Cricetulus griseus: one gene and its partners. The protein of the gene in region 3 purifies or fractionates together with the protein of the main gene of each other region. This does not show direct contact. Links are inferred from orthologs where the notes say so. Each region holds a gene or a part of one and is shown on either strand. Other genes may lie near its edges.

Region 1 (10,698 bases), on a different chromosome or scaffold from region 3:
ACAGTGATCAGCCTAGACCACTATTTCCGTTTGATCCATCCTGTCTTGTCTCATCGGCACCGAACCCTAAAGAACTCACTGGTCGTTGCTGTATTTGTGTGGCTTTTGGCTTCTCTGCTTGGAGGTCCTAACCTGTACTTCCGGGACACTCTGGAGGTCAATAACCACATTATTTGTTATAACAATTTCCAGGACCCCGACCTCACCTTGATGAGACATCACGTTCTAACCTGGGTGAAGTTCCTTTTTGGCTACCTCTTCCCTTTGCTGACAATGAGCTTCTGCTACTTGTGTCTCATCTTCAAGGTGAAGAAGCGAAACATTCCAATGTCTAGTAAGCAGTTTTGGACAATCCTCTGTGTGGTCATTGCCTTCATGGTCTGCTGGACTCCTTATCACCTGTTTAGCATTTGGGAACTCACCATGTACCACAACAGCTCTTTCCAGCACGTGCTGCAGGGTGGACTCCCTCTCTCTACCGGCTTGGCATTCCTCAATAGCTGCTTGAACCCCATCCTTTACGTTCTAATTAGCAAGAAGTTCCAAACTCACTTCCGGGCCTCTACTGCTGAGATACTAAAGCATTCACTGTGGGAAGTCAGCTGCCATGGCACAGCCAGTGAACAGATCAGGAGCGCTGAAACCAAGAGCCTGTCTTCCCTAGAAACAGCCCAATTGAGTACCCTGTTCCCAGAAATCAGTGTGGAGTCGCCCTGTGAGCCTAATAACAAATCCTTTTAGATGAAGCTTCGTCCTGATCTAAATTGACTGACTATATTTTTGTTGTTTTTGTTCAGTGTATTGGCCTTATATTTTTGTATGCGTATAAAATGTAGGATTTCTTCCTTGCCATTTAAACGCTGCATATTTCTGGCTGCCCTCTGGTGGCGATTGTGGTACTGACAACCTATGACTTTCCTCCCACTGTTTTAGCCTCCGTCCATTGATGTACTGCAATGTATCTCTCAGATTAAATAAATCTTCTTTATAATGCATACCACATTACGTTAATCATCTTGGAAAAATATCAGGCTCATTTTTGTTTGCTTTTGGGTCGTTTTGTGCGTGTATGCATGTTCATATGTGTGCAGGTGCTCATGTGTGCAAACAGTGATAAATAAACCTAGATTGTTGCTCCTCACGAGCCTCCCACCTAATTTTTCTTGAGACAGGGTCTTTCACTTGCCCAGAGCTCACCAAGTAAGCTAAGATGGCTAGCCAGCAAGTCCCAGAGATCTGCCTGTCTCACCTCCCCAACACTGCGACTGAGTGCATGTCACCACCATGCCAGGCTTTTTGTGTGTTGCTCTTTAAGAACTAGGGCATCTCCCCAGCTCCCTAATCATCACCTTTTCAGTTACTAAGAAAGGAGAAAATTAACAAAAATCTTTGTCTGGGATAGAGTTTCACTATGTATCCTAGACTGACCTCAAGTTCCAATAAACAAATTGAATATATATATTGGGGGGGTTCGAGACAGGGTTTCTGTGTGGCTTTGGAGGCTGTCCTGGAACTAGCTCTTGTAGACTAGGCTGGTCTCGAACTCACACCTGCCTGTGTGACCCACCTGCCTGTGCATCCCAAATGCTGGGACTAAAGGAGTGCGCCACCACTGCCCAGCTGAATATACATATATTTTAACAGCATAATACATATATATTCAACTTTAATAATTTATAAATTAAGCTATCAATTGTTTATATTGGTTTAAAACTTCCATTCCTGTTAACTGTTTAATAAATTTCCCCAAAATCTAATTGTTTAAAGCAACAATTTCTTGTTGGTATAGTTAAATTCTGAGGTTCTGGAAAACCAACAAGACAGAGGGTGATTTGACTCTGCTTCCTATGTCTGTCTGGAGCCTCAGATGGGTAATAATGCAAGTGGCCTAGCCTGGAATAGTTGGGACGAGTTAATCAACTGTACTTGCTCTCACGTCTACACTTCTCAGTCCAAAAGCTGCAAGGGGCAAGTGCTCCACCACCGAACCTCATCCTCAGGCCTGTTAAAGGTTATGAATGTCACTCACAGCCTTGTTTCCACAATATCCAACTGGTCAAAGCAAGACTAGGCTGGCTCAGAATCAGAGGGGACAGACCTCTTGAAGCGTGTCTACAATTTTGTGTTCAGTTTTAGTTTTTTAGAACATCGTGGTTATGGAAAATTCCGGCTGTATACAAGTGTGTAGATTACTATAAACAATAGAAACACATTTCCCAGGTGATATAGAGGCTGGTCCGAACTCAGTACTTCAAAGAACATGCATCGCCAGCATAGTTCCATCTTTTGGTCTTTTGTTTACGTGGACACCAGTATAAGATGAATAAAATATACCTTTACGTCAGTGTTCTGCAGAATCCTCAAGCACTATGAATTTCCAGAAGAGCAAGTGCGCCCTCTGCCGACCCTCATGGTTCTGACATTGCCTTCCTCTGGCTCTCGTCGTTTAGACACTGCCCTCTGCTGGCCATTATGATCCTGAAAAAAATCTTCCCACTATTTCAGGCCGCATCTGTTGTCTTTTCCTCAGCGAATGTTTTATTAAATAAATCTTTACAGGAAGCTTCCCTCACTAGATTGATAGCAAGAGTACTGGCTGGTTGAGCGAAATAACCCTGGATTATTTATCCTTCTGAATTCTATCTACAAAATACAGCAAGCTTTAAAGACACAACATCCAAACTGTAAAAACAATAGTAACTACATTTGGTATTTAACATGAAGCCAAAATGGCTGATGTGTTCAATGGTGTACTTCCAGGGCAGTACAATCCCTAGCATCAGATCACACTTCTAACAATAGGCCCATCCTCTGTAGCTGAATGAATACGTGACATTTGTAAATGGACGTTATGACTCACCTCCTCTGGTACAGTGGCATAGAAAAGGGAAGGAGGGAGCTAGAGATTGCTCAGCAATTAGGAATATTTGACAACCTGGGCACCAACACCTACATAGTCGCTAACACCCATCTGTAACTCCAGTTCCAAGGGACCCAATAACCTTTTATGAATTCCCCAGGCAGGCATTCATGTGGCACATACATTAACACTGATGAAGAAAATACTTCTGTGACTGAGTGCTGTGCATGTCAAGGTCAGAGGAGCACTTTCCAAAGTCTGCATTCTACTTCCCACCCAGGTTCTAGGGACCGAACCCAAGCGGTAAATGTGTGTTATGAGTACCCTTACTGGCTGAACCATCTTACTGGCCAAAAGTCAATTTTTCAAAAAAGCAATCTTGAAGACGTCTGTTCACAATAGACCATATTCATCAGCACCATGTGTTGCTGCTGACAGCCACAGAATTTTATCAACAAAGGCTACAAAATTAACTATAATTGCTAAATGTTTAATAACACATCAGTTGTTTTTTTTTAATGTGTGTAGTCATATGGTATGTGAAAAACACATTGGCTAAAATACAACTTCTAGGAGTCAGTCCTCTTCCTTGTGGGTCCTGAGGGTTAAACTCTGGCTGGTCAATCAAGCATGGCCAAGTGGGCTTGACCTGGTGCTTTATCTGTCTTTCCAGCCAAGTTTTCATTACTTAGGAATTACATAGCCACTGAATCCTTTCCCCCAAATGAAGACACACACACCACCATTTCTCACAATAGAATGTAGAGTCAAGGGTTGTTTGAGATTTTATTCAAGTGCACTGACCAAGGATGGTTTTAAATTTTGTTAAAAGCAGCCACATCCATGGACTGCACGTAGTCCTCAAAGGCAGTAATCTGCTCCTCTAGCATATCTGTTCCAACTTTGTCATCTTCAACTACACACTGGATCTGAAGCTTTTTAATTCCATATCCCACCGGAACCAACTTGGCTAAAAAAAGAACAAGGGAAAAAAGTTAGGAAATTCTTATTGATGGGAAAACATTGAAAATGTACATGAATTTCAACTTCAAAACCCATCAGTAAACTTACAAGAGCCCCACACCAAGCCATCTGCTTGAATGCTTCTGACACACTCCTCTAATTTTGTCATGTCTGTCTCATCATCCCAAGGCTTCACATCTAGTAAGATGGAAGACTTGGCAACAACCGCAGGCTCTAAAAAAGATTAAGAAATGCATTATACTTAAGCACTCTACTAAACACCTTTACCGTAGGCCAAATCTCAACTTGTTTCAAAACAGACATCTTCTTGCTGAAAAAACATACAGAATTTACCTTGTGTCTGTCACGCATATTCCTCTTTCAATTTGGCTAAGAAAGAGGCATTAAATTGTGTAACAGTTTCTTTCCCACAGAGGAATGCTACAGCTGCTATCATATGAACAGTTGTAGACCAGTAGCTGTGGATGTTCCATAAGGAAAGATGTTTATTGAAGACTCTTAAAAATACCGACCCATTCAATGAAACTGGAAAAAAAACCACTTTAGGGTCAAGCTTTGGAAAAGACCACCACTCACATTATTATTTACCAATGAAGGTAAACAACTGTAAAATTACCTACTTTTAGCTTTCTTTGATTCATACTGTGCAAGGCGCTCTTCTCGGAGCCTCTTTGCTTCTTCGCTTTCCTGTATAGGAAACAAAAATTTCACAAAGTTGGTTATCTTCTGCTTAAACACAGTGACAGGGTCATTACAAAAAAAGAGACCAGATTTATCAGAAAAAAGCAAATCCATCAGGAGCTCAGCCGAAAGATGGTGATTTGATTTTATTCATCATATACCCAGTGATATCTTTTTAAAGGCAGATAACAAAGCAAAGCCAGGGGTCAACTCCAGGGAGTGACTACACAGCTATACTTATACTACACTTACGCTGCCTTATCAACATACTCTATATGAGGTCAGCCATACCTCCTCATCATCTGATCCGAAGAGATCAATGTCATCATCATCTTTAGCATCCGCAGTTCCACTTCCTGTGGTGTCTTCCACACTGGCAGGGCCATACTTGCCCAGAGATTTCTTCACTCCTGGCAGGCTTGAAAACAAACATTCTACCAATATTAGGTCGGGTGTCATATTCTTTTCTGGGCAAAACACACAACCTTTCTTTCCCAGTAACACTCAATCTCTTCTATTCTGGTTATTTATCCTTTAGCACAAACAATCCCAGGTAAAGATGTTATGTGTCTAGCTCTTCCTCCAACAAACATTAGTACCACGGGAGACATCATACTCAATACTCACTATGGTTTAACTCTTTCAGAATGAACATCTCTGTTTGGGATTTCATTAAGTATGCTCACTTCCATTCTTAGTTAACTGGAGTCCACTTCCCCAAACTCTCCACCCTTGCTTGCTGGTAGTTTCAGAAGAATGGCCAGGGACTGAATGAATGAGCTACCCTCTCACCCCAGCGATGGCCCCCCCAGGTCCAAGCATACTGGCAGAGAGGTGTGGGGTAAAGTTGAATTGCTGTTGTCCATGTTCTACCTGTTCCGTGAGAAAACGGAGGGCTTCAGTCTCTTGGCCTTTTAAGGTCACAAAGAAATTCAGCTTACCCAAGCCCAACAAAGCTAAGTAACTTAACCTAGGTCCTAGTTTACCATGTGAAAACCCAGGTGGCACCAAGACATTTTTTACCTGGCTTTCTCTTTCTCGTAAGACTTGATGTGGTTATACCAGCGCAGAGCATGACACAGGTCAGCGGGCGGAGGACCAGAGACGGCTTCAAAGACGGCCACATCTGCTTGCGATGGCACGTACCTGCCGGTGACACAAAAAACAAAGTGCACACACCTCTTAAAGAAAAGACACGAACACCAGCTAGTATAGGACAAGCTCTACACCCGTCAGACTAACTAGTGGGAACTACTGCAGGGCTAACAAGTTGCTTTAGTTGCTTTTAACTATAAAGTGCACCGAACACGTGTTCGAATCTCCACAAACCAACAGCATCTGCCACGTATCTGGACAGACCTCAAAAGCTACCATCTGCCATCGGGCCAGCCACCAAACCAGGTTTAGATTTCCTAACTCGGCGGAGACGCGGAAGAACTTGGTTGAACGCGGCCACGCGGCCACCAAGCCTGTTTCAATGATTCCGCTTGCAGCCCCTGCCGGGAGGTCCTGCTCCGGCAGCATCCGGGCCCCGGGAGACCCAGGCTCGGCTCCCACCCCCCCCTTCCTCCCGCCGAGCCCGCGCCACGTGGCCCCGGCCTCCAGACTCACCCCTCGATGTAGCTCTTGTCCGCCAGGTAATCATTGAGCACCTGGAGGCCCGCGGGGGTTTTCAGGTCTCCGAAACCCATGGCGTCGGTTGGATCCCGGAGGCCGGCAGCAGCAGGGAGGGAGAGGGAGAGACAGAGAGAGAGAGAGAGAGCGCCAGAAGCCCGCGGCCGGCGCTAAGGGAAAAAGGGCCCGGGCCGGCCGGAAAAGTCCTTATATAGAGACGGAGGCGTTTCCCTCCACTGCACCGGCTAGAGGTTAAAGGTCAAAGGACATTCCTAGTCTCGTCCCTCCACGTAAAGCCGGGACTTGGGAATCAAACGGCCCACAGGTTGTCCGCGGGCTTTTCCTTGGGACCGGAGAGAAATTAATAAAAGAGGCATTTTAAAAGGCCTACCTACAAGGATTCCGAAACTAAGGGAAACGCCCCCCGAAGAGCCGGAGTTGAGCGAAAGCGCTCGGCCTCAAGGCCTCAGCTACTTCCGGCGGAACTGCGGGTCCAAGTCGTCCCCTCCGCTTCCTCCCGACTCTCGCTCGGGTTGCCGGAAATTGCCGAACAAGTCCAAAGAGGGGGAAAAAAAAAAAAAAATTGTCGAGCCTGGGTTTTTCGTCCCTCTTGGCTCTCCGTCCTCCAGTTCCTGTGACGGAGTTAGCCGGGGCCGCCATATTGACTTAGCGGCCCGGTATTGAGGGGTCAGAGAGATCCGGACCAGTCCGCGGAGCAGCCTAGTGGGCTCCGGAGAAAAGGTGAGGGCGTGTTTAGGTGGGAAGGCTGAAGGGCTTCAAGCCGGGTTCCATTTCTTGGCAGCATTGTATCCTTTAGGTCAGAGAAGTCATTCCCCTCTTGTCCTTGACTGGGTACCGCCTCCCGCCCCGCCACCGCGGGAACCCGGGAGAACCGGCCGGTGAAGCAGAGGGAGGAAGAGGAGCAGACCTTTGGGAACTCGGGCTTGCGAGCTGCTTTCTCTGCAGGGGAAAGCAGGAGGTGGCCTTGACAGGAGACCGGCTCATGCCCCAGTGTCACGAAGGACTTAAACCTTAGGCATCATTGGTTAGTTGCTGTCTTGCAGCTGTCCACACTACTGTTTGTTTTTGTCTAGTTCATTGACCATGTTGGGTAGTAATTTATTTATTCTACTGACGGGGAAATCTCCCCACAACTTTTTAAAAGTTAGCCGGGGCTGGTTAGCTAAGCGGTTTTTCAAGTACCTTGCAGAGAGGATCCGAATTCGGTTCTCAGTGTCCAGTTCAGAAGACTCACAACTGCCTGTCACTGTGCCCTAGGAGGTTGCCACCCTCTTCTAGATTGTGAGCACCTGCACTTACATGAGCCCCACACAGACATGCACATGCACACATAAGTTTTAAAAAAAATGAATCTTAAAAAGTTTGCTCGGGGCCCAGCCGCAAATCAGGAAGCTGCAGTGTCTTCAAGGTCTTGAGATACAAAGTCAAACTGAATTGTAAACATTAGGTTTCGTTTTTCCTGGGGGGGGTTTCTTTTCTTTTCTTTCACTGAGTTTTGCATTAAATGGAGTGTTCTGAGCTAGAGCATCAGCAACTTTTAGAAAGTTGTTTGTCTAAGTCACAGCCAAGATATGGGCCAGGTGCGGTGGTGCTTGTCTATAATCCCGGCACTGGGGAGGCCGAGACAGAGGATTGAACCCAGGACTTTATGCTAGGTAAGGACTCTACTAACTGAACTACATCCCTAGCTTGAGTAGCTATTTTTGTTCCTGTTTGGAATACATTCCAGGGCTGGCAAGGTGCTTGCTGTCATGCCTGACAACCTGAGTTCAATTCCTAGAACCCACACGTGAAAGGAGAGAGCTGACTCCCAAAAGTTGTTCTTTGGCTTTCATCTGCACGAGCCCCACCGCAGTTAATGTATGCTAGCACACACAAAGTAAATAAATGAATGTAAAAAGCAGCAACAAGAAACATATACCAATCTGGATGTCGTGGTTCATGTTTATAATCCTGGTGCTTTTTGGGAAGTGGAGATCTGAAGTTTAGGAGTCCCAAGTTGATCCTTGTCTTCATAGCAAATTTGAGGTCATTCTGAGGTTTATGAGATCTGTCTCAAAAATCAAATACCACCAAAGCAAAACACCACAACAAAACAAACTGTATGCTGTATAAACCAGGTTATCCTCGAACTGTCTATGTAGGTTTTATATCATGTAGCTCAGGCTGACATCAAATGCTTCAAGTTCCCCAGTGCTGGGATTATGGCCATGGGCCACCACGCTGGCCCCATCAGTACTTTTTGCTAATGGAGTATGTACTGCTCATCCTGGAATTTGGTGACTTGTTTTTGTAAGGGTACTGTGCCAGAAAATGGGAATAGTCAGATTTCTTGTCAAGGAACTTAAAGTCTAGTAGCTACCAAAATTCTCCAGGAACTTAGTTTTGGGGGCTTGTTTGTTTATTTGTGTTTGGGATACAGCCCAGTGTAGGCTGAAGAAGTGGTCCTCCACTAAAGCTACATGCTTAGCCCAAGTTTAGTAAATAGAACAGTAAAATAAATGTATGGTGTGATGTTCGTAAAGAAAAGGACCACAAGCGAAGAGCACTTTACATCTGATTGTCAATGCCCATTGAAGTTGAAGTCAGTTTTTATTGCAATTTTTTCTTTGTTTTTATTATTGGTAATTACTGACCTTGGTATTGTAGATCTGCTTTCTAGATAAACAAACAATAACTGATTTACCAGAAATTATTTACAGACACCAGACTTGATGTCTTCAAATTCAGTATTGAAAATTGTAATTACTGTTATTAAGGAATTAAGTGAAATGAGTTGTAAATTAATGAATTTTTAATTATAGGTCATCTGTGATAACTATAGGCTTTAGAGTTTAGGATTCTATTTCATCTGGAATGGTAGTGCCTTTAATCTCTGCACTTAAGAGGCAAAGGCCTGTGGATGAATCTCTCTCTGTGGGATTCAGGCCAGCCTGGTCTCTGTATAGCCAAAAGCCACGTGTGGTAGCACATGCCAATAGGGTATGTTGAAGAGGTAGAGGCAGAAGGACATGAATTCAAGATTAGCTGGAGAGGTGGCTCAGTGGTTAAGAATCCTGGCTGTTCTTCTAGAGAACCTTGTTTGATTCCTAAAAACTATATGACTGGTTGTAATTCCAGTTCCAGGGGATCTGACACCCAGTCATGGCCTCTCTGGGCATCAAGCATGCACATAGTGAACAGACATACATACAGGTAAAATATAATACACTTACACTTAATTTTTTTAATTAAAAAAAAGAAAAAATTTTAGTTTTTGTACTATTTTCTATTACTTCTGCTACTGCTATTGAAACTTTTTTACTCATTTTTTAATGTTGATACTTTCTAATCACATAATTTTTTTCCTTTAAAAGGAAAAAACAAACACAACAAACTAGTCATCTTGTACATACATCCCTGTAATAACAGCAGTTTGGAGATAAAGGCAGGAGGATCAGGAGTTTAAGGTCAGCCTGAGCTACATGAGATCCCGTCACCAAAACTAAACAAAAACCAACTGACTAAACAAAACTTAAAAATTCCAAAAGAAAAATTATGATATTAGAGGCTGTGCTGCAGTTTTATGTCAACTTGATGCAAGCTGAAGTCATTTGAAAGGAGGGAAGAGCCTCAACTAAAAAAATGCTTCCACACCTGGAAGTGGTAGCACATACCATTAATCCCACCATGACTCAGGAGGCAGAGACAGGTAGATCTCTGAGTTTAAGGCCAGCCTGCTCTACAGAGTGAGTTCTAAAACAGCCAGGGCTACATACAGAAACCCTATCTCAAAAAACAAAAATAACAAAAAAAATAATTTATATTTTCTTTTCTGTATATGAATGTTTTGCCTTCATGTATGCATGTGCCCTGTGTATGCTGGTGCATGCAGAGATCAGAGGAAGACATGAGTAACTGCAGTTATGGATGGCTGTGTACCACCATGTGGGTGCTGGGAATTGAAGCCAAGTCCTCTGCAAGAGCAATGAGTGCTTTAAACTGCTGAGCCTCTCCAGTCACCTTTCTGTTTTTTGAGATAGGATCTCAACAAGTTATCCAGGCTGACATTGAACTCACTCATGGTCTAGGCAGGCCTGGAAATGTGATCCTGCTGTCTTGGTGTCCCAAGTAACTGAGATTATAGTCCTGTAACACCAGGTCCAATGGAGGACCATTGCTGTAAAGCTTATTTTTATGAGCTCTTGGGAATTGGTACTGAAGTGGGAGATTCCATGAGGTCGTGATACATTCAGGATATAAGCTTAATACAGGCAAATTCCAGGTCTGTGAGATAAACTTACTACTCGGTGTAAAACAATGGTCCTTAAGGTATTTTATTTATTTTAAATAGCTGGTAATTTTTTGTTTTGGGGGTTTTTGTTTGTTTGGTTGGTTTGGTTTTTGGAGACAGGCATTCTCTGTGACTTTGGAGACTGTCCTGGAACTAGCTCCTGTAGACCAGGCTGGTCTCGAACTCACAGAGATCCACCTGCCTCTGCCTCCCAAGTGCTGGGACTAAAGGTGATAGTTATTTTTGCAATTTATTTTACTTTATT
Region 2 (10,598 bases), on a different chromosome or scaffold from region 3:
CCCCCCCAATTGTATTTCTCAACCACTTTCAGTTCCATGGCATCTGACGCCCTCTCTGACCTCTTCTGGCATCAGGGAGGCATATACAAACATCAGGCAGGCACATACAAACATGCAGGCAAAGCACTCCTGCACAAAAATCTAAAGAAACTTGCCGGGCGTTGGTGGCGCACGCCTTTAATCCCAGCACTTGGGAGGCAGAGGCAGGCGGATCTCTGTGAGTTCGAGACCAGCCTGGTCTACAAGAGCTAGTTCCAGGACAGCTTCCAAAGCTACAGAGAAACCCTGTCTCGAAAAACCAGGAGAAAAAAAAAAAAGAAAAAAAAAATCTAAAGAAACTTAAATGGCGAGGCAGTAGTGGCATATACCTTTAATCCCAGCAGAGACAAGTATATCTATGAGTTTGAGACCAGACTGTCTACATAGTGAGTTCCAGGACAGCCAAGGCTACAAAGAGAAACCCTGTCTCAAACACCCCCTACCAAAGGCATAAATATTGCTTCAAGTTAGGGATGACCACTGCACCACTCTCAGGGAGTATGGGAGGCAGAGAAGCAGGAGAATCAAAAGTCCAATGTCATCCTCAGAAACGGCAAGTGCCAAGGCCCTAACTCAAAAGCTGTAGTCTAAGTTTTTCTCATTTTACAGACGAGTTTAAATGTTGAGCCTGGTCCAAGGTTATACTATATATAGCAAAGCCAGAAATCTGCCATTTAACCAAAGGTCCCAGACTGGTCTCCAAATGTCCACCAGACAACTCTTTTTAAGGGCCTGAAAACCTCAAAACCTCCCCTTTCCAACCAAAAGGTAGGACTGGAGACTTTCTCACACTCCATCTGTTTTTCCCCCAAATAACACAGACCAAGTATGGTCTGCATCTGTAATCTCAGCATAGGCATTTAACAGATCCTGCCTCAAAAAACTAGGATTAGTGGTATAGCTAGATGGCACAGCAAATGCCTAAGCATGGGTGAAGCCCCAAGTTCAATTCCCAGCACTCTTAAATATATGTATATGTGTGTATATAATAAACATAAGCTCCTAAAACTCACCTAGCTGGGAGATCTTAAAGGGATCAGAATGAAATCTTCAACAAATGACAGTTAAATCACTGCCTTCAATTTTATGCGATTAAAAAGCCTAAGGGTAAGGGGGCTCAGCAGTGGTGGCACATGACTTTTTTTAAGATTTATTTATTACGTATGCAGTATTCTGTCTCCATGCATGCCTGCTGGCCAGAAGAGAGTACCAGATCTCACTGTGGATGGTTGAGAGTCATCATGTGGTTGCCGGGAATTGAACTCAGCAACCAGTGCTTTTTACCGCTGAGCCATCTATCTCTCCAGCCTCCATGGTGCACGCCTTTAATCCCAGCACTCAGGAGGACAGAGGCAGGTGGATCTCTGAGAGTTCAATGACAGCCAGAGTTGTCCTAAGGGATGTGAGGTGTAATGGCTCATGTCAGCAATCCAGCACTTGGGACTGAGACCAACAAGGAGGACCAGAAGTTAAGATCACTCTTAGCTACAGTCTGAGACCAGCCTGCAATACATAAGAATCTGTCTAAAAACCGAGAACCACCCACCAACCAATAGCAAATAAAACAGTACCAAGGGGAAACACTTTTGGCATCCCAGAAAGGCATCGTGGTAATACAACAAATAGGCATTAAATTAACATCCTCAAAGGTACATAAGAGCCAAAGGCTCAGCAGGTAAAGATGCTTGCCTGATGACCTCACTTGATTCCCAAGAACCACATGGTAAAAGAGAACTGACTCCATCTCAATTGTCCTGACTTCCATACACATCAATGCATCACTCTATGGCTGGCAAGAGTGGGCCCACATGCACACACAAAATAAACTAATTTAAAAATACCTAAGGATGCCGGGCATTGGTGGTGCACGCCTTTAATCCCAGCACTCGGGAGGCAGAAGCAGGCGGATCTCTGTGAGTTCGAGGCCAGCCTGGTCTCCAGAGTGAGTGCCAGGACAGCCTCCAAAGCTACACAGAGAAAGCCTATCTCGAAAACCCCCCCCCCAAAAAAAAAAAAAAAAAAAACCTAAGGAGGAAGGAGAAACCTTTCCATTCATTGTTACTTATTTTCTGTCCATAATAAGGACCTACCACATGTGTCTATATTATAACAAAAGAATAGGTTTTTAACATAACAAAATTCTTCTCATTAGATCTATGCTTGTGCAAAACTCGGGTTAATCACTTGATTCAGAACTCATTGTATTCTGAGAGCAGGGTTGCAGATATACTCACAGGCAGAGCAAATTGTCTTAAATGAACCTGAGTTCCAGCCCCTTTCAGAAACACACACACACACACACACACACACACACACACACACACACACACCTACCTACCTAAAGAAGCACCTATTAGAGCTTAAGTTTTCTTGGTCTCATACCAAAAAACAAACAAACCAACCAACCAACAACTCCTACAAATTAAGGCTTTCAGCTGGAAGTCCCTGCCCTTTAGTATCCATGCCTCCAGAGCCAGTCATCACGGGAGTGCTTCTACAGGATAGTCACATTAAAACATCACAAAATGCAGGTAGGTCAAAACTGAACAAGGATGGCTATTCTTCAGTCAACTTTAATTCCAGCACTAGAGAAGCAGAGGCAGGTTCAAGGCCAGCCTGGTCTACAGTGAAAGTTCCAGGACAGCCAGAGCTGTCTCAAAAAAACAAATAACAAACAAAAACACCAGGACTTCCATACTGGTACATCCCAGGTGGAGGCAGGAAGATAAGTCAGAAATTCAAGGGCATCCTCTGCCCCACAGCCTCACAAACCAGCCTGGACTACAATGAGACCAGGACTATACTTACACCCATCACTATTTGCAGCAACTACCTCAAATTGCAGGCCTAGATGTATGTGAGAGGAACAAAGGCTAAGAACAGGTTAAGAACGCCTTCCAACACGCTTACCTCTTGGGCAGGTGAGCAAAGGGGTCCTTGGCCTTGGGCTCAGCAGCAAGTGCCTGCTCACACTCGTCCATCTCCTCCTCAGGAGCTGGGGCAGCTGCCTTTTTTTCTTCTTTCCGCTCAGCCTGGGGCTTCTGTTTCTCTTCTCGTGAACCCTTTTCTTTCCTTGGAGTTTCTTTTTTAGGCTGGCTCTCTGCAAACTTTTTAGCTGATAAAGGAGAGAGGGAAGTAAATATACTGCCTCTTTCCATTTTCCTCCAAACCAGGCAACAAATGGAAAGTGATGGCAAGGACAACCAAACAAGCCTCAAGGAGCATACACAAGTTATCACACTCTGCATTCCAGTGTGCCAGTAACTATTTGATAGATTATGTTCAGGGGTCACCAAAAGTCAAAGGCTGTTGACAGGAACAAACGGAACCCTGATCACATGCTGTCTCCAGACTTACCATCAAACTGGGCCATCTTCTCACACAGCTTCACCTCCCCCAAGACCGCCCTGAACTGGGGCTGGTTAATGCAGGTAAGGAACCATCGGTTGGTATTGGGGAAGGCCTGACGAAAAGAAGGCTCTAAGACCTGCCAGGATGGAAGGACAGAAACAAAGTCAACACTAGAAAGGCTATGAACAGATCTCCAACAAGAGCACAAGACCCTTACCCCCAGCTCCACTTTCCTCTCCATCCCCAACAGCAAAACTTTAAATCACTACATCTCCAAGAGGACTACTTACAAAGGGTCCTTTTTTGTGTTTTGGGTTTTTTGTTTTGTTTTGTTTTATCTTTTTCAAGGCAGGGTTTCTCTGTGTAGCTATGGCTGTCCTGGAACTCACTCTGTAGACCAGGCTGGCCCGAACTCAAAGAGATCCACCTGCCTCTGCCTCCCAAGTGCTAGGATTAGAGGTGTGCGCCGCCGCCGCCACCACCACCACCACCAGGCAAGTGCACTTTTTTTTTTAAGATTTTATTTATTATGTATACAACATTCTGCTTCCATGTATATCTGTACACCAGAGGAGTGCACCAGATCTCATAGTGGATGGTTGTGAGCCACCATGTGGTTGCTGGGAATTGAACTCAGGACCTCTGGAAGAGCAGTCAGTGCTCTTAACCTCTGAGCCATCTCTCCAGCCCCTTGTTGTCATACTCTTTTACACAAGAATTTCATGTCTATTATTCTTAATCTTTTAAATTTCATGTCAACAAAATTTTCTTAAGTTAGATTCAACAAGTCTGTAACAGAGTCTATGTAAGAGACTAAGGGCTTAGCTCAGTAGCACAATGTAACCCAGTATTCACAAGACACTGGGCTCCAACCTAGCATCCAAGGGGGTGATGCTAGGTGGGGGTGGCTACTAGACTTATTTTGCTAAACAAGCTGACCCCCAAAAAAGACATTTTGTGTGTGAAGCTGGGAATGGAACCTAGAGCATTGCCAGATAAACCATGTCACTGGGCCTCACTCTAGCTCCACACTGCAACTACAACCTGCACACTGATGACACAACCAAACCCAAGACACCAACCAAATAAGAGTGTAGTTCAGCAACCCAGTATGATCAGAACAGTCCTTCTTTTAACTCATTCACAGAAAAATTCACTATCCTCTTTTAAAAAATTTTAACATTTATTTCATTTTTACACAAGTGTTCTGTTTCCATGCATATCTGCGCACCGTGTGCAAGCCTGGTGCCCACTGAGACCAGAAGGTATTGTATTCCCCTTGAGCTGGAGTTAAAGAAAGTTATAAGCTGCTATGCGTGTACTGGGAATTGAACCTGAATCCTCTGCAGAGTGCTCTTAAATGCTGATCCATCTCTTCAGCCACACACTGTCTTAAATTCTTAATTTACCTTCCATTTTTATGTATATGGGTGTTTTGCCTGCACATATATCTGTACACCACATGCATTCTAGTGCTCACAGAAGCCTGAATTCAGAGGGCATCGCATCTCCTGGAAAGGGAGATACAGCTATTAGGGCATCATGGGGGTGCTGGGAGTACTCTGTAAGTGCAGCAAGTATTAACTGTTGGCCTATTTCTCCAGCCCCTGTCATTTTCAAGTTTGCCAAAAATAGGAGGGGGTGAGAGCTAAATCTGGTCATGGAGACAGATCACAGAAATCAGGAAGTTGGGAACTTCAAGTTCTGAATACTTGGGTTCAAGTTATACTTGAGTACTTACAAGCTGTGTGCTATAGGCACAGAAACATTATAATGAACCCCGTGAGGCATACGGTCAGAACAGTAGGAGCTTTTTTCTTTGTTCCTACTGTACTACAATTCTGAATCAAAATGGATCCCCAGCTATTGCTTGGAAATCAATACAACATTCTTTAAAACCCAACAACAAAACCAGTAACCTGAGGGGCTGGAGAAATGGCTCAGCAGCTAAGAGCACTGGCTGCTCTTCCAGAGGACCCAGGTTCATGGCAGCTCACAGCTGTCTGTATCTCTAGTTCCAGGGGATCTGACACCCTCACACAGGCATACATGCATATACACAGACAGACAGATGGCTGTTCTTCTAGATGGCCCTGGTTCAATTCCCAGCACTCACTTGGTAGCTCAAAACTCCTTAGGACCGGTACACATATGTACATACATACATGCTAATACACATAAATGAAACAATTTTAAATGTTTTAAAAAACATAGGAACCACACAGTGATTACTACCACCTTGAATTTAACACAGATAAAGTAAAATAAAATAAAGAACTGTGAGAATTCTTACATCCTTCTATCTGTACCAGTAAATAATGAAGCCAGGATAGGGACTTGGATCTGCCTCCAAAAGCCCTTGACGCTGCAGTGACCATCCTTACCTATCTTTAATTTATGATCTCGCTATACAGCCCAGGTTGGCCTCATACCAGAGTGATCCTCCTGCCTCAGTACCTTAAGTGCTGAGGTTACAAGTGTAAGCCACCACACCCAGCCTTACCCATCTTTAAATTAAACCCATTATTTTCAAGAAACTAAGCAACATCACCTAAAATGAAAACACCCACCGTACTCAATCCTGGGATTCCTACAGCCATTAACTGATGAGTCCTAAGTAGAACCCAGGGCACCCCAGCACCAGTCAATCTCCTGTCTAATGGGCTCTTTACAAACCTTACCTGCTTGTAGAGCCACAGAAGGGTGCAGACAACTGTGATATCAGCCAGGGTCACTCGCTCACCCACCAAAAAAGTCCTTGTCTTCAAATGAGTGTCCAGCAGCCCCAGGATTCGCTTCACCTCCTCTTTTGCATTTTCAGTGGCCTGTTGTTTTGAATATTCAAGTTTAGTGGGTACCAAGTCCCTTTCCATTTAATCAGCATTGGCTCAACCCCCAGCCTCTATCACTAGAATCTAGGATCACCTGAAAATGTATTAGAACTAAAACATGCATGTTCAGTCTCTTCAGAGTTGACATGACTATTTCCCACCATACTGACGGCGAGCACTTACGACTTTGCACTGCCACACATCACTGGCATCTTTCCCTCCAATATAGGAGTTGACCCCATCTCTGCCAAGTTCCAAAGCATACCTGTTTGTTGTGGTGCATGATGCCCAAGGTGGGGAACACCCAGGTACTGGCTGGAGGAACGATGTCACTGTCAGCAAAGCTCACCCACTGCACCACCTGAGCCGCTGCCTCTGGAGTACTTCCACGAAGGTCCTCATTGCTTACTGCAAAGGCACAACATAAAGCTTGGAACCTAAAGATCATGCCCAAACCAACCCAGGTCTCTATGATCCCACCCCGTCCACTGCCGTCACTCCCAGCCACTTCTACAGCCTCATCCCCAGAACCTCTCAATCCTGTGTCCCCACAAATTACCGTAATGGGCAATGGCATTGCTCTCAAACACACAGAATCCGTCGTCCCCCTCAAATGCTGGGACCTAGGGGCGAAGTAGTTAAGAGACAAAAGCAAAACACAGGGATTTCTCACTAGCCAATTCTTGGGATTGAACTGTCAAGAATGTTGAGACAACCCTTGCTATGCAAACTTGCAACATTATCTGAGACTCATATGAAAAATAATCAGTAACTCTCTCGTAATCTGAATCCAGTGCCTGGACTAAGAATTCAAACATGGCTGAAATGTGAAATTACGGCCTCATACCCTTATTCCCAGTCTGAATCTGAAATCAGCCAGGGCTAGTGTGACACCATCTCAAAATAAAGAATATTCTCAGGTATGGATGTCTTCAGACAGTCCTCCACCTACAACTCCGCTACCCAAGGCATTAGGTGCAACCCACACACAGCATTTGGCCGGGCAGTGGTGGCGCTCACCACTGGGGAGGCAGAGGCAGATGGATCTCTGTGAGTTCGAGGCCAGCCTGGTCTACCGAGTGAGTGCCAGGATAGTGTCCAAAGCTACACAGAGAAACCCTGTCTCAAAAAACAAACAAACAAACAACAACAACACACACACACACACACACACACACATATACAGCATTTGCCGTCCTCCATACTCAGCGTTGGATATTTATCTCTACTCAAGCACTCTGGGATATGAATCCAACTTGCAAGAAACCTAGTATGTATGTATTGGCCCAAATACATTTCATCCCACAAATCCAAAGCAGGTCTGTAACTCTGAGAGTCACCAAACTGCTCTGAATTTCCCTTTATAGAAAGGCTCATATTAGATTATATAAACTGACCTCACACAATCCTCCTGCCTCAGTCTCCAGAATGCTAGGATTACCAGAAGGCTTCAAAATGATTTTATTTTTCCTTCTGGGTGCTTGGACAGTCAAACTCAGGGCCTTTCATCCCTGGCCCCATGAAATCTTTAAAAAGTAACTTCAATGTTGAAGAATAGAATATGGAGGCCATGTCCAAAATAATAGAATTTTAGGGCTCTTTGGGGTCCCTGCTTCTCTACTCACCTTGCCAGCAGGAAACTTTCTGAGAAATTCAGGGGTGCGGTTGGTTTGGCCAAAGTGGAAGTGGGGTGGTGCGGAGAGCACGCGGACCTGAGCCCCGCTGTACTGAGCAGCGATGAGGGCCTTGAAGGCTCTCCAGTTTTCAGGATATGTGTACAGGGTCTGTGAGAGGAAGGGTGGAGAATGGACATGAGTACAAGAATCCTGAAAGCGACTCCCCACACTTTCAAAGCCTTTGATTCATCTCCACTCCTTCTGGTAAACCAAATTAACTGAGTATGCCCTATGTAATCAGAGTCCTCTGAAATAGCGAGAACAGAACTGCGTACCAGCTGCTAAATAAAGCTTGCTGACAGACGTGACCTCCCGTAAGGACATCACTAGCAGCATTCTTCCCTTCAGAACTTCGTGGTCCCACCAGTCTTCATCTGCCCAAATACACACACCCTTGCCTCCCAGAGCCCTTGTTTCATTCATTCGTGGTGACCCAGTGTATGGCCACAGCCAAGCTGGTAGCACCTCACAAGCACACACATCGACCAATGGATTTCAAAGTTCCCCTCAGAATGGCCACGTTGATTTCTAGCGGCATGCTCTGCTCATCAACTCCTCTTCCTAAAAAGTCTGTTTTTCCTCACCGAGCACTAACATCGCTCTGGTCCTGTCCTTCAGTGTTTCCAGTTGTCTCCCTACTAAAACCTGGCCAGAGGTGTCCAAATGGTCTGCCTTCAGTGTTCCTTGACTCCTCTGCTCCCAAACCTCCCCAAAAGACAACTCCTAACTGTGCCAGTCCCTCCTGCCCACAAAGACCCTCTCCTTTTTCACTGTCCCCGTCGGTGACCCACAAAACGGTCGCAAAAGTTCCACCAACCTACCCAGACACCACATCTTAAAATGGCAGTGCAGCTGAGCCACTTTTTAAACATCCAGACACTGAAGACCCAGCATCTCTTCTCCTCAACCCCAGAACATTCCACCTCTGGCCTCCGAGCCCCAGCCTCAGTTCCCCTCCAGGCCCTAGGAACCCTGCTCTCCGGCGGTACGGCCTGCGAACCCCAGATCGGCTCTCCGTTTGGGTCTGGAACTCTCCTGGCGCCGACTGACCCGACTCAGTCAAAGGATGGCGGTGGATGAAGTGACCTGGATCACCAGAGCCGGCGAACTTACCCCAGCCGCCATGGTGATTCCGCAGAGAAAGGGGGTGGGGCTGTCGGTGCTGCCGCAAAGTAAGCCGCCAGGGAGACAAGGGAGGGGGTAAGGGGACAGCCGTACGGAAACAGCGGCCGGAAAGCGAGGACGGCATAAAAGGCATACGCACGACAGTTCCGTCTCCAGCCGCGCTGAGTTGGAAAAAGCACGGGGTGGGGCGCACTGCCTGGAGCGCAAAGAGCTGGCGCCTGCGTAGTATGGCTCTGGGCAGCCCGCCCCGCCCGTGTGGCCGACCAATCGGAAGCCTGATAGGAGACGGAGCTCACTGAGGGCGGGGAGAGTGTGAGAACCGGCGGAAGCACCGCCCCAACCGCTAGTAGCTCTAGCCTACTAGGAACTACATGGGCTGCAAGGAAGGAGTGGCAAGTCACTAAATTCCTTTTGTTCCTGTTCGGGTTTTTCTATTAAGGGATTGTCTGTCCGGCAGGGCTCATGGCCGAAAACATCTGAAAGTAGGTCTGCGATGACTAAACAACCTTGATGTTAACTCTACAACAAAGGGGACCGGCAAACTTGTATGTCACCTGCACCTCTCAAGCCGGGCTGTGCTCCAGAAGGTCGGGTAAGGTAGACCAGTTCTAATGCAATAATTTACACATATCCAAATTTGGAAATCTCGTATCCAACTTAAGGGAAATTTGAACTCACTCTAGTGTTAAAGGGTAGAAAAGGCAGCAGAAATCAGTGCCTTTGTCTTGTGGTGTGGAACTCCCTATAAATGTGGTATGAGGTGGGAAGACCTCTGAAGTGGACATAATGACTGTTTTAGGATAGTCAGGCCAAGCAGGGCAGAGGCTACATTAAGACAGAGAGAAAGTGTTACCAGGTAGAAATCGCAGTTGTCCATTGTCTGTATTAAATAAACTACCAGCTTTATTGTCTGTGAGGTCGCCTCCTCACTCAAGGAGATTTTTAAGTGCTTGAGGGAGAAAAACCTGTAGGAAATGATGAAGCCCAGGGAACAGGCCTTGGGAATCTTGGACTGGTACCACAGTGAGCGCCTGGTCAGCTTGGGAGACAGATGCCACAAAGGTGAGGAGGGGCTCCCCCTGTAGCCTCTGTTGCTCACTGTCTGGTCCTTTCAGTTCCTGGGTCACACGAGCTTCCATTGCCAGCCACTCTGCTCCAGTGGTGGTGCCTCCTCTGCCTTCTTCTTTGGTTTGTTGCTGTAATCGTCTCCGGGCACGCCGCCTCCCCTGCCACACTTGGTGCCACAAAGCACAGCGCCAGCTCGCTGATGAGAGGTGTGATGTTTCCTTCCCTGTCTCACCCTGAGACTCTTCTCCAGCCACTTCGGGTTCCATGGGCTTCTGCTCAGCCAACTTGTCTAGACACTTCCAAGTCATCAGGGGCAACTGGCCTGATGGTGCAGAGCTCAGCAAGGCCCTGCCCTGAGACGTCTCTCGAAACTCTATTACCATTTCTTCCACCCCATTTTCACTGTGGTCCCCTGCACATCCCTGCGACTTCTCATTCCCCTCCTCCCAGCTCTTCTCTTGCCCATCTAGTCTCTGTCTTTTGTTTGTCCCTCCCAGGGAAGGGTCTT
Region 3 (10,598 bases):
CCTGACCAGAACCAAGGACCAGGACAAAACCAAACCTCAATTATAGGGCTTCTATTACATTTCAAAAAAAAAAAAAAACTGTTCTAAAATTCTCATCCTATGAAGAGATGACAAAAAAGGTGTAAGATGACTCTGGAACAAAGGTGCTTGCTTCCAGGTCTTGACCTGAGTTCCATCCCTGGAGCCACATGATGGAAGTAGAGAGCTGATTCCAAGTTGCCCTCTGACCTCCACACATGTACTGTGGCGTATGCATCTGCCCAGAGAGAACTGACGCTCTGCTTACCTGCTAGTAACTCTGAACACTGAGCGGCCTTAGGGTGAAAAGGAGGGCTTTCCCTTCAGTGCCAGGCGAAGGGCCAGAAGCTACTGTTCTTTGATACCCCAGTCCATCTTTCCCCCTGTTCTGATAAAGAACCACATCCACTAGCCCAGCCACCAACCTGGGAGGTGAACTGGGCAGCCTCCTGAGGTGGGTCAGATTTGCTGTCCCCACAGACATTGCCCCGGCGAATATCCTTGACGGACACATTCTTCACATTGAAGCCCACATTGTCACCAGGCAGGGCCTCGCTGAGCGCCTCGTGGTGCATTTCCACAGACTTCACCTCTGTGGTGATGTTTACTGGTGCAAAGGTCACCACCATACCAGGCCGAAGGATACCAGTCTCCACTCGGCCCACAGGCACAGTCCCAATGCCTGGGACAAGAGAGGATACAGTGAGAGGGCAGGCCAGAGAAGGGGTGCGGGCAAAACAAAAAGCAGAAAGCCTGCAAGTAGACAGAGTTCAGGGCTTGTTCCTCTTTGAAGGTATCAAAGGAAGTAGAGTCATGGAGGAAGTAAGGAAACGGGGTCCCTAGACAAGCAGAGGGTGAAGTGACAGCAGGAGAGTCTCCCCTGACCCCATCAGGGAATAAGAGACTAAATCAGAGTTCCCAGGATTCAAAGGTAAGGGTCAGGACAGAAAAGGGAGCATGGGGTTGTTTCCTGGAGGACAGCTGTCCCTCAGAGGGAGCATCACCAGTGTCCCTTCTCTCTCTGAGAGCCACAGCCAGGCATGGGCCAACTCACTGGGATGCACTCGCGAACATAGGACTCCCCAAGTCCTGCTGTAACCCTGTGGTTCTACCGCTGAAGAAGCATCTGGCCCCAGCACTTCTGGCAGCCCTGCCCACACTGGCAGTGTGGTTACCAAAGGGATACCTTGGTGAGCAAAAGTGGCTGAGAGAGGGAGCACTGCTCTCCGCCATTCCCTGGAAGACTGGGGGGTGGCATTATGGGGCGATGGAGAAAAGCCAGAGGGTGTGTTCTGTGTTGGAGTGAGCATCAGCATGGTATCCTCAGTCCGTCCTCTCCCTTTGCTTGTCTCATGTTTGGCTTTGGTTTCTATTGACTAATGACTTGCATTTCTCATTCCTTGACTTGGACTGCCTCCCATGAGACAGGCGCCCCTCACCCTGCAGGTGAAGTGTAAGTCAGTTCAAAGCTCCCATCTGATGTCCCTGGCTCCTGGCTGAGTGCTTGGGGATCTGGGGAGTGGGAAAGGAATCCTACCGAATGCTAGGTGAATGGATGGATGGGTGGAGGTGGGTAGGAGGGGTGTGGATGGATGGATAGAACAAGAATCAAGGGTGCGGAGGAAATGGATGAGTGTAAAAGAACATGGAAGAGAGGTGGGTGGAGACGAACAGCCTGAGGGCTCCTTGTTGATGTCCCTGTCAAGATTGGGGACAGAGTCTGCAAGCCCCTGCAGGGAGAAATGAGCTCCCATATGTATCTTGGGTCTAGTGAATTCATTATCACCGCCTTCAATACTGAGACCTCACTCACCACCAATCTTGTACACGTCCTGCAGTGGGAGGCGAAGGGGCTTGTCAGTGGGGCGGGTTGGGGGCAGGATTGTGTCCAGGGCTTCTAGCAGGGACACGCCACTTGCATTTCCTTCCTTGCGCTCTACTTTCCAGCCCTTGAACCATGGCATCTGGGCAGGAAAAAAAAAGGTGCCAATTATAGGGCAACCCACCTGACCACACCCTCAACCTCAGATCTCTGAGATTCTGGGGGTGGCACCTGCCTAAAGGATAGCCAGGGGAAGGAGACTCACTGTTCAAGCTGAATAGCTTGCTCCTCATCCCTTTCTCACATTCCCAACCTCATAGGGACCCTGAATAAACATAACTTAGAAAAGAGGGAAGGGGCAAAAAGCAAAACAAACAAAAAATACCTCCCCAGTCTATACTGTCATGTCCCAAACACTGGCAAATGAGACCCCTCACACCTCTCCAGACTGTATTGCCATGTCCCCAACACTGGCAAATGAGACCCCTCAACTGGGCCTGATTCCCTAATCCCTCAGGGACCTGGTCAGTCACAGCCCTAGACAGGTCAAGTACCAGGGGATTAGGGACTCAAGCCTAGCCAATGGCCATTTCAAAGATAAACTCCAGCCTCTGCCCCAACCCCAGAAGCTCTGCTGGCTACTAAGCTGTCTCCAAGATCAGTGTCTACCACCACCACCACCAAAAGGGCTTCTCTGGGGGATGACTTCAAACCCTCCTGACCTGTACAGACAAGAAGTAAATCCACCCAGGGGGCTGTGTGTCCTCCTGCCTTTGTCTTTATGACAAGGTCTCGGGCACCTCAGGCCAACAGATGGCTCTTAAAGTATGGGTGAACAGAGCCCCAGAGCACAATAGAGCAGTAGGAAGCAGGGAGGACTCTGCTGGTCAAAGGTCCCCAGGGGATTCTAAGGTCCTGATAATCATACACCAGCAAGAGCAAGATGCAGTATCCCCTGCCTGCCAAACTCTGTCCCCATGCCACCAGGCACTGGTCCCCTAGCTATCTCAAGAGAGCCTATATCCTCATACCATTTCATTCATTATGGGCATCTGAAAAGCTGGCTGAGTGTCCACCTCTCTAAGACAGGGGTCTCCTCTGGGTAGACCAAGATCTAGGTCCCAGGCTCTCTCTCTGAAAATTTTCTCCTCTACACCCAAAACCCAGAGACCCAGAGCAGCAGAAGCTTCAAGCTTCCAGAGGACCCACCAAAAGACATTCTTCCACTCCCCAGGCCAGCCCAGGGACATGCATGCTTCCCAGATACCACCCACTTCAGACCTCAGGGGAGGCCTTGTGGCCTTGTTGGTCCTGCACAGTATCCAAGGCCAGGACAGCAGCTTGGGAGAAATAAAAACTGATTTCCCCCAATAGTGAGATCCAGGGCCCAAGAGACTGTGGCCAGAGAAGGAGCCACATCTCCCTCTTTTGGCCTCATGGGGAGGCTGAGCTAGAAGACCCCAAGTGCAGGTCTTTTACTAGGAAGTGTCCCCAGGAGGCTGGTACTCATCACTATAGAAAGCCAACTGAACCAAAGGAAGCTCGGCCCAGCCTGACTTAGAGTCCTGGAGCCCTGGGCTCTTGGAAGGTTAGTATTGCCCCACTACACCTATCTTCACTCACATTGGGTGAGGGCTCCAGCATGTTGTCCCCATGCCAGCCTGAGATGGGCACAAAGGGCACTGTGGCTGGGTTGTAGCCAATCTTCTTGATGTAGGCGCTGACCTCCTTGACAATCTCATCATAGCGCTTCTCACTGTAGGCTGGTTCCGTGGAGTCCATCTTGTTAACACCCACAATGAGCTGCTTTACGCCCAGAGTATAGGCCAGGAGGGCATGTTCCCGGGTTTGCCCGTTCTTGGAGATGCCCGCCTCAAACTCACCCACACCCGCTGCCACGATCAGCACCGCACAGTCCGCCTAGCCAACAGATCAGAGACAGTGAGCCCCCTGGCCCCACCTTTTACCTAGCCCTACCACCCACAAAATAGGACCTGGGCAGTTATCCTGGGGATGGAGACTCAGGATCTCCTCCTCTAGGGTAGCAGGGGACTCCTTCACTAGGCCCTGAGTTAAGAAGGCCCGAAACTGACCATCAGCTCCAACACCAGCAGGCTATGTGCCCTTGGATGAGTCATTGGCTTCTGGTTCTGTCTTGTCTGCCTGTGATTGTCTTGTCTGACTGATTTTCTATCCACATCTCACTATCCCTAATGTGGCCTCTTCTACAAGAATCTGTCTGTGAAGGACATGCCTACAATTTCCCCTCTGTCTGACTGCTGGCCCCAACCATGGCTGGGTAACCCTGCAGGCACCCCATCTAGCTGAGATATAAACACTGACTCAGTTCTTGAGGGACTCTGTGCCAAGCAGGATGAAGGTGACCTGGGTGGAGCTCTGTCCTGACAGAAAGTACAAGAGACACTGACACCTCAGGAGAGCTCTTGGGCTCGGTACCCTCCCTGCACACCTGAGATGTGCCAGTGATCATGTTCTTGATGAAGTCCCGGTGGCCTGGGGCATCAATGATGGTAATGTAGTACTTGGTGGTCTCGAACTTCCAGAGGGAGATGTCGATGGTGATGCCACGCTCCCTCTCTGCCTTCAGCTTGTCCAGCACCCAGGCATATTTAAAGGACCCCTTCCCCATCTGAAAGAGTAGGGATGCAACTCAGGATAGGACACAGGACTCAGGGGTCACAGCCACCTGCCAGGCCTGCCCTGGGCCATGGAAACAGCCATGAGAGGTTAGGGTTAGGCTAAAGCACCTTGAACCAAAGACCTCTGTACTGTCTCTCTGATGCTGACACCCAAACCCTGCTCTGCCACAAAATGAAGCCACCCAGATCAATCAGCCCCACCCCCACTCCCCTCCTAAGTGGTTATGGACACACCCAGAAGGGGGCATGAGGGTCTGAACATTGCCAGACCTCATTAACCTCTCATCCCTGGCAAAGGGTTCCTCACTATCTGAGGCTAAGACTCCACACCCTAGTCAGTTATAGGTCAATTATCTCATTGGGTTTGGGACTATTGAAAAAAAAAACCTCTGAGTTATTTCAAAAACATGAAATTTTAAAAAAACAAATAAATTGGTCAAGGTTTTGAGAAAAGTCTAGCTTTTCAGCTCTTTCTGTAGCTGATGAGTACTTCTAAAAAGCTCTCCCTCCCCCCTTACACCAAAATAGGAGAAGAAAGAACACCCCCACTCAAAGCAAGGCTGGCTGCTCTCTGCCAACTTGTGCCTGGGTGAGACTGCTACAGCCTGGACCACAACTGTGGTCATTGCTCAGCTGAACACAACTCCTGACCAGAATCTCACAGGACAGGCTTCTGCATTCCAGGGATGCTGCCCAGCCTGGAGGAGCTGGTCCAGACAAAACCCAGCTGGGACCTGACCCAGGTGACCTTCAATCCCTGATCTCCCTGCTACCACCTCCTCTGGGAATACCCCCTAAAGGTGTCCCCAGACACACAGAGTTGTGGCTCAAAACCCACATATACACTGGAGCAGGAGTTCAACACAGAGAGTTGCTGCCCTCAGGTCTGACCTTAGCCCTTTTCCAGGAACCAGTTCTTCCGGGGGCAGGAAAGAGAATCCAGTTACAACCACTGCCCACTCGTAGGTCTCAACCAGGAACAGGCTACCAAGACCCCCCACTCCAGGCACCATCCTGAAGCAACAACCTTCCCCAGCTTATCTGGAGAGAGTGGAGCTGGCAAGACTGCTGCCCATCAATCAGCTATTAATAGCATCCTTGAGCCCTGGCTGTTGCAAGACAAGTGAGGGCAACACCACATCCAACATAGCTTTAGCCCTGGGGAACGAGAGGATAAGGCTTGAGGGCCCTCTGGCCTACTGAGGCCAAGAGTCCAGAGCCCTCTGGTGGACCTGGGCGGGATACACATTCTCCCTCCCTCAGTCTGAAGCAGATCTTGCAACATTCTCAGAGGGAGGCTGCCCTACTTACCCCCACCCCCAGACATCCTTTGCACTGAAGGTATAAACCAAGCAATGAAAGCATTGGGCCCATGGTGCTCACCTCTGCTGCCTCCTTCTCAAACTTCTCGATGGTCCTTTTGTCGATGCCCCCGCATTTGTAAATGAGATGGCCTGTTGTGGTGGACTTGCCTGAGTCCACATGGCCAATGACCACAATGTTGATGTGTGTCTTCTCCTTGACCATTCTGCCTGGTTGAAGGAGGGGCTGGCACTGTGGGGGCTCTGGCTCTGGGTTGAGGGTGTGCTGGGCAGGAACTCTGTGGGGCCAGTGACAAGGGAGATAGGTGATTTTGAGGCCCAGAGAGAGCCCAACAGAGACACCCACACTATTCTTGTTGTTTGAGAGCTTGTCCTCACCCAGTCACCTGAGGTTGGATGAGGAAGAATGGTTGCCCCTCACCCTGATCCTAGCCCAGGCCAGCCAGGTTGCACTCATAAGCCACCTGTTCCTCTACCTTAGCCCAAATGGTTCCTTGGAGTACAAATATTTGGAGAGTTGATTTGGAAGAAAGTTCCTTAAGAAAGGGTTAATCTGGTCTGGACATCACAGAGCAGCAGGCTGAGTGATCCTCTGGAGCAGCCAGGAGCCCTGTGATGAGTCACTGTGCCCAGCTCTCCAGTGCCTCGTCCTCCCTGTCCTCGATGCCGCTACCCCCCCCCCACACACACACACACAAACACACATAGCCCAGGGAGGGACACTGCCCTACCCCCATCTGCTGCCACCATGAAGAAAAGGCCAGCACTCCTCAGCCCCTCCACAGGCAAGGGCGCCATCTTCCCCTCTCTGCCCACAGGCTGGCAGGGGAGACAGCTGGATGGTGCCCAGGCATAGGCCCAGAATAGCTCAGGCCCTCCCCATACTCAAGCAGGGGGCAGCCATCAGGGCTGAGAGGTGAGTGTCCTGTTCTAGCCAGAGGAATAAAAATCTCTCCCTGCCCCAGCTCAGCAAGTGCCCTCAGAAATGCCCTCACCCTTGCCCCTACCATCTGGTACAGGCCCTGGGTCTCAGTACCCACGCATCACAGAGGTCAACGGAGAAGCTCAGGAGGGGGGGCGGGGGGGGCGACAATCCTAGGGTGGGATCCATGTAGGGCGGGGTAGGGGTCCTCAGGTTTCACCACCTCCCCCGCCCCTCTCTGACAAATCACTAACATCCCCAGAGCCCCTAACCACACCAGCACCTGCACCAACCAGCCTGTCCAGCCCCGCAGCGCCCAGGAGAGCCCCAAGGTCACAGTGACAGCGTGATCGCAGGTTTCAGGAGAAGACCCCCTCCCCACAGTCCCCGCCACTGTCACCAAGTAAACAATCGCCTAGGGGGACACACCGCCAGACTGCCACGGGGACCCACCATGCCCGGTGTGCAACCGAGAGACCCCCAACCCAGGGGTGTAGCTCAGCTAGGTGCCGCGTGTCCTCTCTACCTTGGGTTGGGTTCCCAGGGAAACGAACCTTCAGTGGAAACCTAAGCAAGAGTCGCAGACCGGGATGTGCGTCCTTACCCAGAGCCGAGGTCTCAGTCAGAGGGACTGGCGGCGGCGGCGGCGGCGGTTTTATCTCTCCAGGAGGGGGTCCACCTATTGACGGTGCCGGCGCAATGCACTGCGCCCCTGCAGTACAGCAATGCGGTACCGGCGGGGGGAGGCGGGCGCCGGGAGGCTGGCAGATGGGGTGCGAGTGATGCGCGGACGCAGGGGCCGCGCACCCACGGGCGCGGGCCGGCGGCGTAACGAGGATCCGAGAGGACGCAGCTGCAAAGATGCGCCAGAGCAAGCTGGAGAATCAGCGAGCTAGAGCGCAGACCAGGAGAGAAAAACAGGCAAAAGGGCGGGGAGCACGCAGAGGTGGGGGCAGGGAAACAGAGCCAGGAAGGGAGGAGCAGAGAAGGAGAGAAGGGAAAGAAGCATCAGATAGAAGAGATGGGATAGCAGAGACAGGGGTTGCTGGAAAGCGGGGGCGGGGGGTGGGACACATTCAAAGTAAAAAAAAAAAAAAAATGTCTTCAGGAAGGTGGAACGCAAGACAGGGAACCAGCGAGTGGGGGAGGGGGGAAGAAGCTCAAGCCCACGTCAAGGTCCCTGCAAGTCCTGATGTGGCTGGGCATCCAGTGCTGGCCCGGTTTGTGATTGAGTCCCAGTGAACATGAAGTTCAGTTCCCAGAGGCTCTCCATGATGTGATCCCCCTGGTACAGTGAGTGCCCCATGCTTGTTCACATGGGCCCAACATGGAAGGCCCTTGAGGGCATCAGCAAGTCCAGCCCAGATACAACCTTGGCCTGAAACCCTGGAAAGTGGCTTTTTCTACCTATTCCCTTAGGTGTGTGTTTGGGGTGGAGGGGGGACTGCATGAAGCCCATTAGAGCTCAGGCACAGTCCTGATTGCATTCCTGCTCAGACTGTCTTAGCTAAGACCATCAAACATTTCCAAACAGAGTTCAGACCCAGCCCCCAGGGTCGAGCACCAGCCTCCTTCAGCCCCCATGGGTAGGAAATAGGGAGACTTTGAGGAGTCTAGGAAGATGAATGTAACCAAAATGGGCCTTAAGGGAGCTGTGCCCACCTCATCAGAGGCTTCTTCAGAGACCCCTATCTTGTCATCTCACCCAGACATTTTCAAGTGCTGTCACCGATCTTTGTCACTGCAGGGTATGGTAGGGCAGGTAGGAAGCAAAGGTTACTTGGGTATTTATGTTGAATGACAGCATGCCCTGTGCCTATCCTTGCCACACTGGTGTGGAATGGATCTAGACATAGAAGGCCCAGGTCAGGGCCCAGCACATCCTACTGAGAGAGTACCCACGAGGAGCCCCTGGAGATGGGTGCCCAGTAGGACAGGCAGCTAGCAAGTAGGTGAAGAAGGTATTAAGGTGAAATCTGAGGGTCTGTCTGGCAGAGGGCAGCCAGAGACCAGGCAGGCCTCTCAGATGACCCGGCACTTCCGAAGACTGCTGATACTGTCAACTGGGAGCCAGGAATTAAAAATAAATTCCTGGCAGGACATTAGCATTTACCCTGCCCACTTGCCCAGCTCTTCTCTCCACTAGGAGATCAGGCCTAGTTTGGGATTCAGGAGGCTGGGTGGGCTCAATTGAGAGGTTCAGAGTCCAGAATCCTTGGGAATAGCCCCCGGACCTTCAGCTTTGGAGTTTTCATCAGACTCCGCTTGCCTATATAGTCTTCCTCTGTGTACATCTGGGACACAAGGAGCCAGCAAGATCCAAGGTCAGGAACTTACCCACCTAGAGGACTGACCACTGATGGCAAGATGTCATATCTTTCCTGAAACACCTATACATTGACCTAGGGGAGGCAGGCCAAAACTACCTCCCTGTCATTTGCACATACTTTGCCTACCAGTGCAAGTCCCTGAAGCCTTTGCTGGCATGGAAGATCCTAGGGATATGCAGAAAAACAAATCTTCAAGAGGTAACAGTGCTGAACAATAACACACTAACCCCACTGAGCAGCCTTGCAGCCAAGAGTTCCAAGAGGCTACTAACCCACCAGCATTAAGCAATTGCCAGACAGTCAATAGCTCCAGCAACTGAGCTGCTATTGCCCCAATCTGCACTTATCCCCCAAGCTCAGTGCTGGGACTAAATCCCAAGGTGCTGGGATGGTGCTTCCTAGTAGGGGGCATTTAGGTCCTGAGGGCTCCAGCCTTATCCATGGATTAAATGCTACCATAAAAAGTGCCTATGGAGGGCTCTCCTGCCCTCCACTTTCCACTGTGAGGCCTGGTTGAGCCCCTTGCCAGAATTTTGGGCTTCTAGCCTCTTCAACTGCATAGTTAATAGTACTTAAATGACTAAGAAATCAGCAATACTACATAAAAGCAGGTCCTATAAATAGGCCTGGGGACCCAAAACCTATGAGGAAACTGGGCAAAGAAAAGCTAAGCCCAATGCCTGAGATAACACAGCAAGTAGGTGATTCAAAACATTAGAACCATAGACAGTATGGTTCAATCCAGGTCTCACCTGTGGCCTGCTTCTCAGTTACTGATCACAGTGACCCTGGGAAACTGCCAGAGGTGGGGCAGGGCAAGCAAGGAGAGGCTACAGAAAACCAGGATTCTTCCTAAGAGCAGTGTGGAAGGTAGGGTGCAGGCTCTGTCCCTCCTCGGCTCCTCCGGGAGCCCCCAGATGCCAACTTCAAGCTGTTTGGGGAGACAGCATCCCCCTCTTTGGCTGGTGGGGTTTTCATAAATGTTGGGAATGAAGGATCCAGCTAAAATTAACCATTATCAAGCTGCCAGCCCTGCAAATAAACCTGCCTCCCATTGGCTGGTGGTGATGTCACTGTCAGGTTAATAATAGCTGAGGTGCCCAGCTAACCACCTGTGTGGGTGCCTTCTGTGAGCCACGGCCAGGCCAGCCTCCTGGAGTCAATATCCAACAGATGTGTGTCACTTGGCCCAGGGTGGCTTATACAGTGCCTTAGGGACAGGGTGAGGGTCTGGGGACACCTTCTAGTCAGAGAGTTCCCAGGGAGTTCCACCTGGTTTGAGCTGCCAGATACCGTCTGCTCCTAAAGCACAGTCCTTGGGCATGGAGTCCTTCACTAGTCATCTACCTGAGCCTGAGTCCTGAGCAGTCCTCCCAGGAAACAAACTCCTCCCAAACAAACAAACCTCCCCCTGGAAGGTCAGCTTCCAGGCAGGTACCAGGAGACTGAGTTCCTGAGGCAGCACATGAACTGTCTCCATGGGGAGGGGAATATCTGGGCTCTGGGGCCACTCCTTGACAATTC

The links.
Region 1: the proteins of Eef1a2 (region 3) and Eef1b2 purify together in Homo sapiens (co-immunoprecipitation; 4 studies listed by BioGRID and IntAct, counting the BioPlex papers as one, with this or other methods). This does not show direct contact. The link is inferred for Cricetulus griseus from reciprocal best matches to the Homo sapiens genes EEF1A2 and EEF1B2.
Region 2: the proteins of Eef1a2 (region 3) and Eef1g purify together in Homo sapiens (affinity purification with mass spectrometry; 4 studies listed by BioGRID and IntAct, counting the BioPlex papers as one, with this or other methods). This does not show direct contact. The link is inferred for Cricetulus griseus from reciprocal best matches to the Homo sapiens genes EEF1A2 and EEF1G.

The regions. Positions count from the first base shown.
Region 1 is NC_048595.1:417,277,850-417,288,547, reverse strand, and holds Eef1b2 (elongation factor 1-beta), read right to left. Parts: upstream 6,496-10,698; 5' UTR 6,217-6,495; coding exon 6,137-6,216; intron 5,672-6,136; coding exon 5,549-5,671; intron 4,944-5,548; coding exon 4,817-4,943; intron 4,691-4,816; exon of another isoform or gene 4,612-4,690; intron 4,532-4,611; coding exon 4,465-4,531; intron 4,311-4,464; exon of another isoform or gene 4,179-4,310; intron 4,058-4,178; coding exon 3,932-4,057; intron 3,831-3,931; coding exon 3,676-3,830; 3' UTR 3,623-3,675; downstream 1-3,622. Other genes in the region: Gpr1 (G-protein coupled receptor 1), read left to right, coding at 1-741. UniProt on the Homo sapiens protein: Catalytic subunit of the guanine nucleotide exchange factor (GEF) (eEF1B subcomplex) of the eukaryotic elongation factor 1 complex (eEF1).
Region 2 is NC_048596.1:51,124,105-51,134,702, forward strand, and holds the start of Eef1g (elongation factor 1-gamma), read right to left. Parts: upstream 9,160-10,598; 5' UTR 9,023-9,159; coding exon 9,011-9,022; intron 8,006-9,010; coding exon 7,847-8,005; intron 6,845-7,846; coding exon 6,781-6,844; intron 6,630-6,780; coding exon 6,487-6,629; intron 6,216-6,486; coding exon 6,072-6,215; intron 3,527-6,071; coding exon 3,397-3,526; intron 3,155-3,396; coding exon 2,950-3,154; intron 1-2,949. Other genes in the region: Tut1 (speckle targeted PIP5K1A-regulated poly(A) polymerase), read right to left, coding at 9,949-10,598. UniProt on the Homo sapiens protein: Probably plays a role in anchoring the complex to other cellular components.
Region 3 is NC_048599.1:736,824-747,421, reverse strand, and holds part of Eef1a2 (elongation factor 1-alpha 2), read right to left. Parts: intron 7,598-10,598; 5' UTR 7,349-7,597; intron 6,101-7,348; 5' UTR 6,028-6,100; coding exon 5,884-6,027; intron 4,491-5,883; coding exon 4,311-4,490; intron 3,761-4,310; coding exon 3,464-3,760; intron 1,983-3,463; coding exon 1,832-1,982; intron 701-1,831; coding exon 444-700; intron 1-443. UniProt on the Homo sapiens protein: Translation elongation factor that catalyzes the GTP-dependent binding of aminoacyl-tRNA (aa-tRNA) to the A-site of ribosomes during the elongation phase of protein synthesis.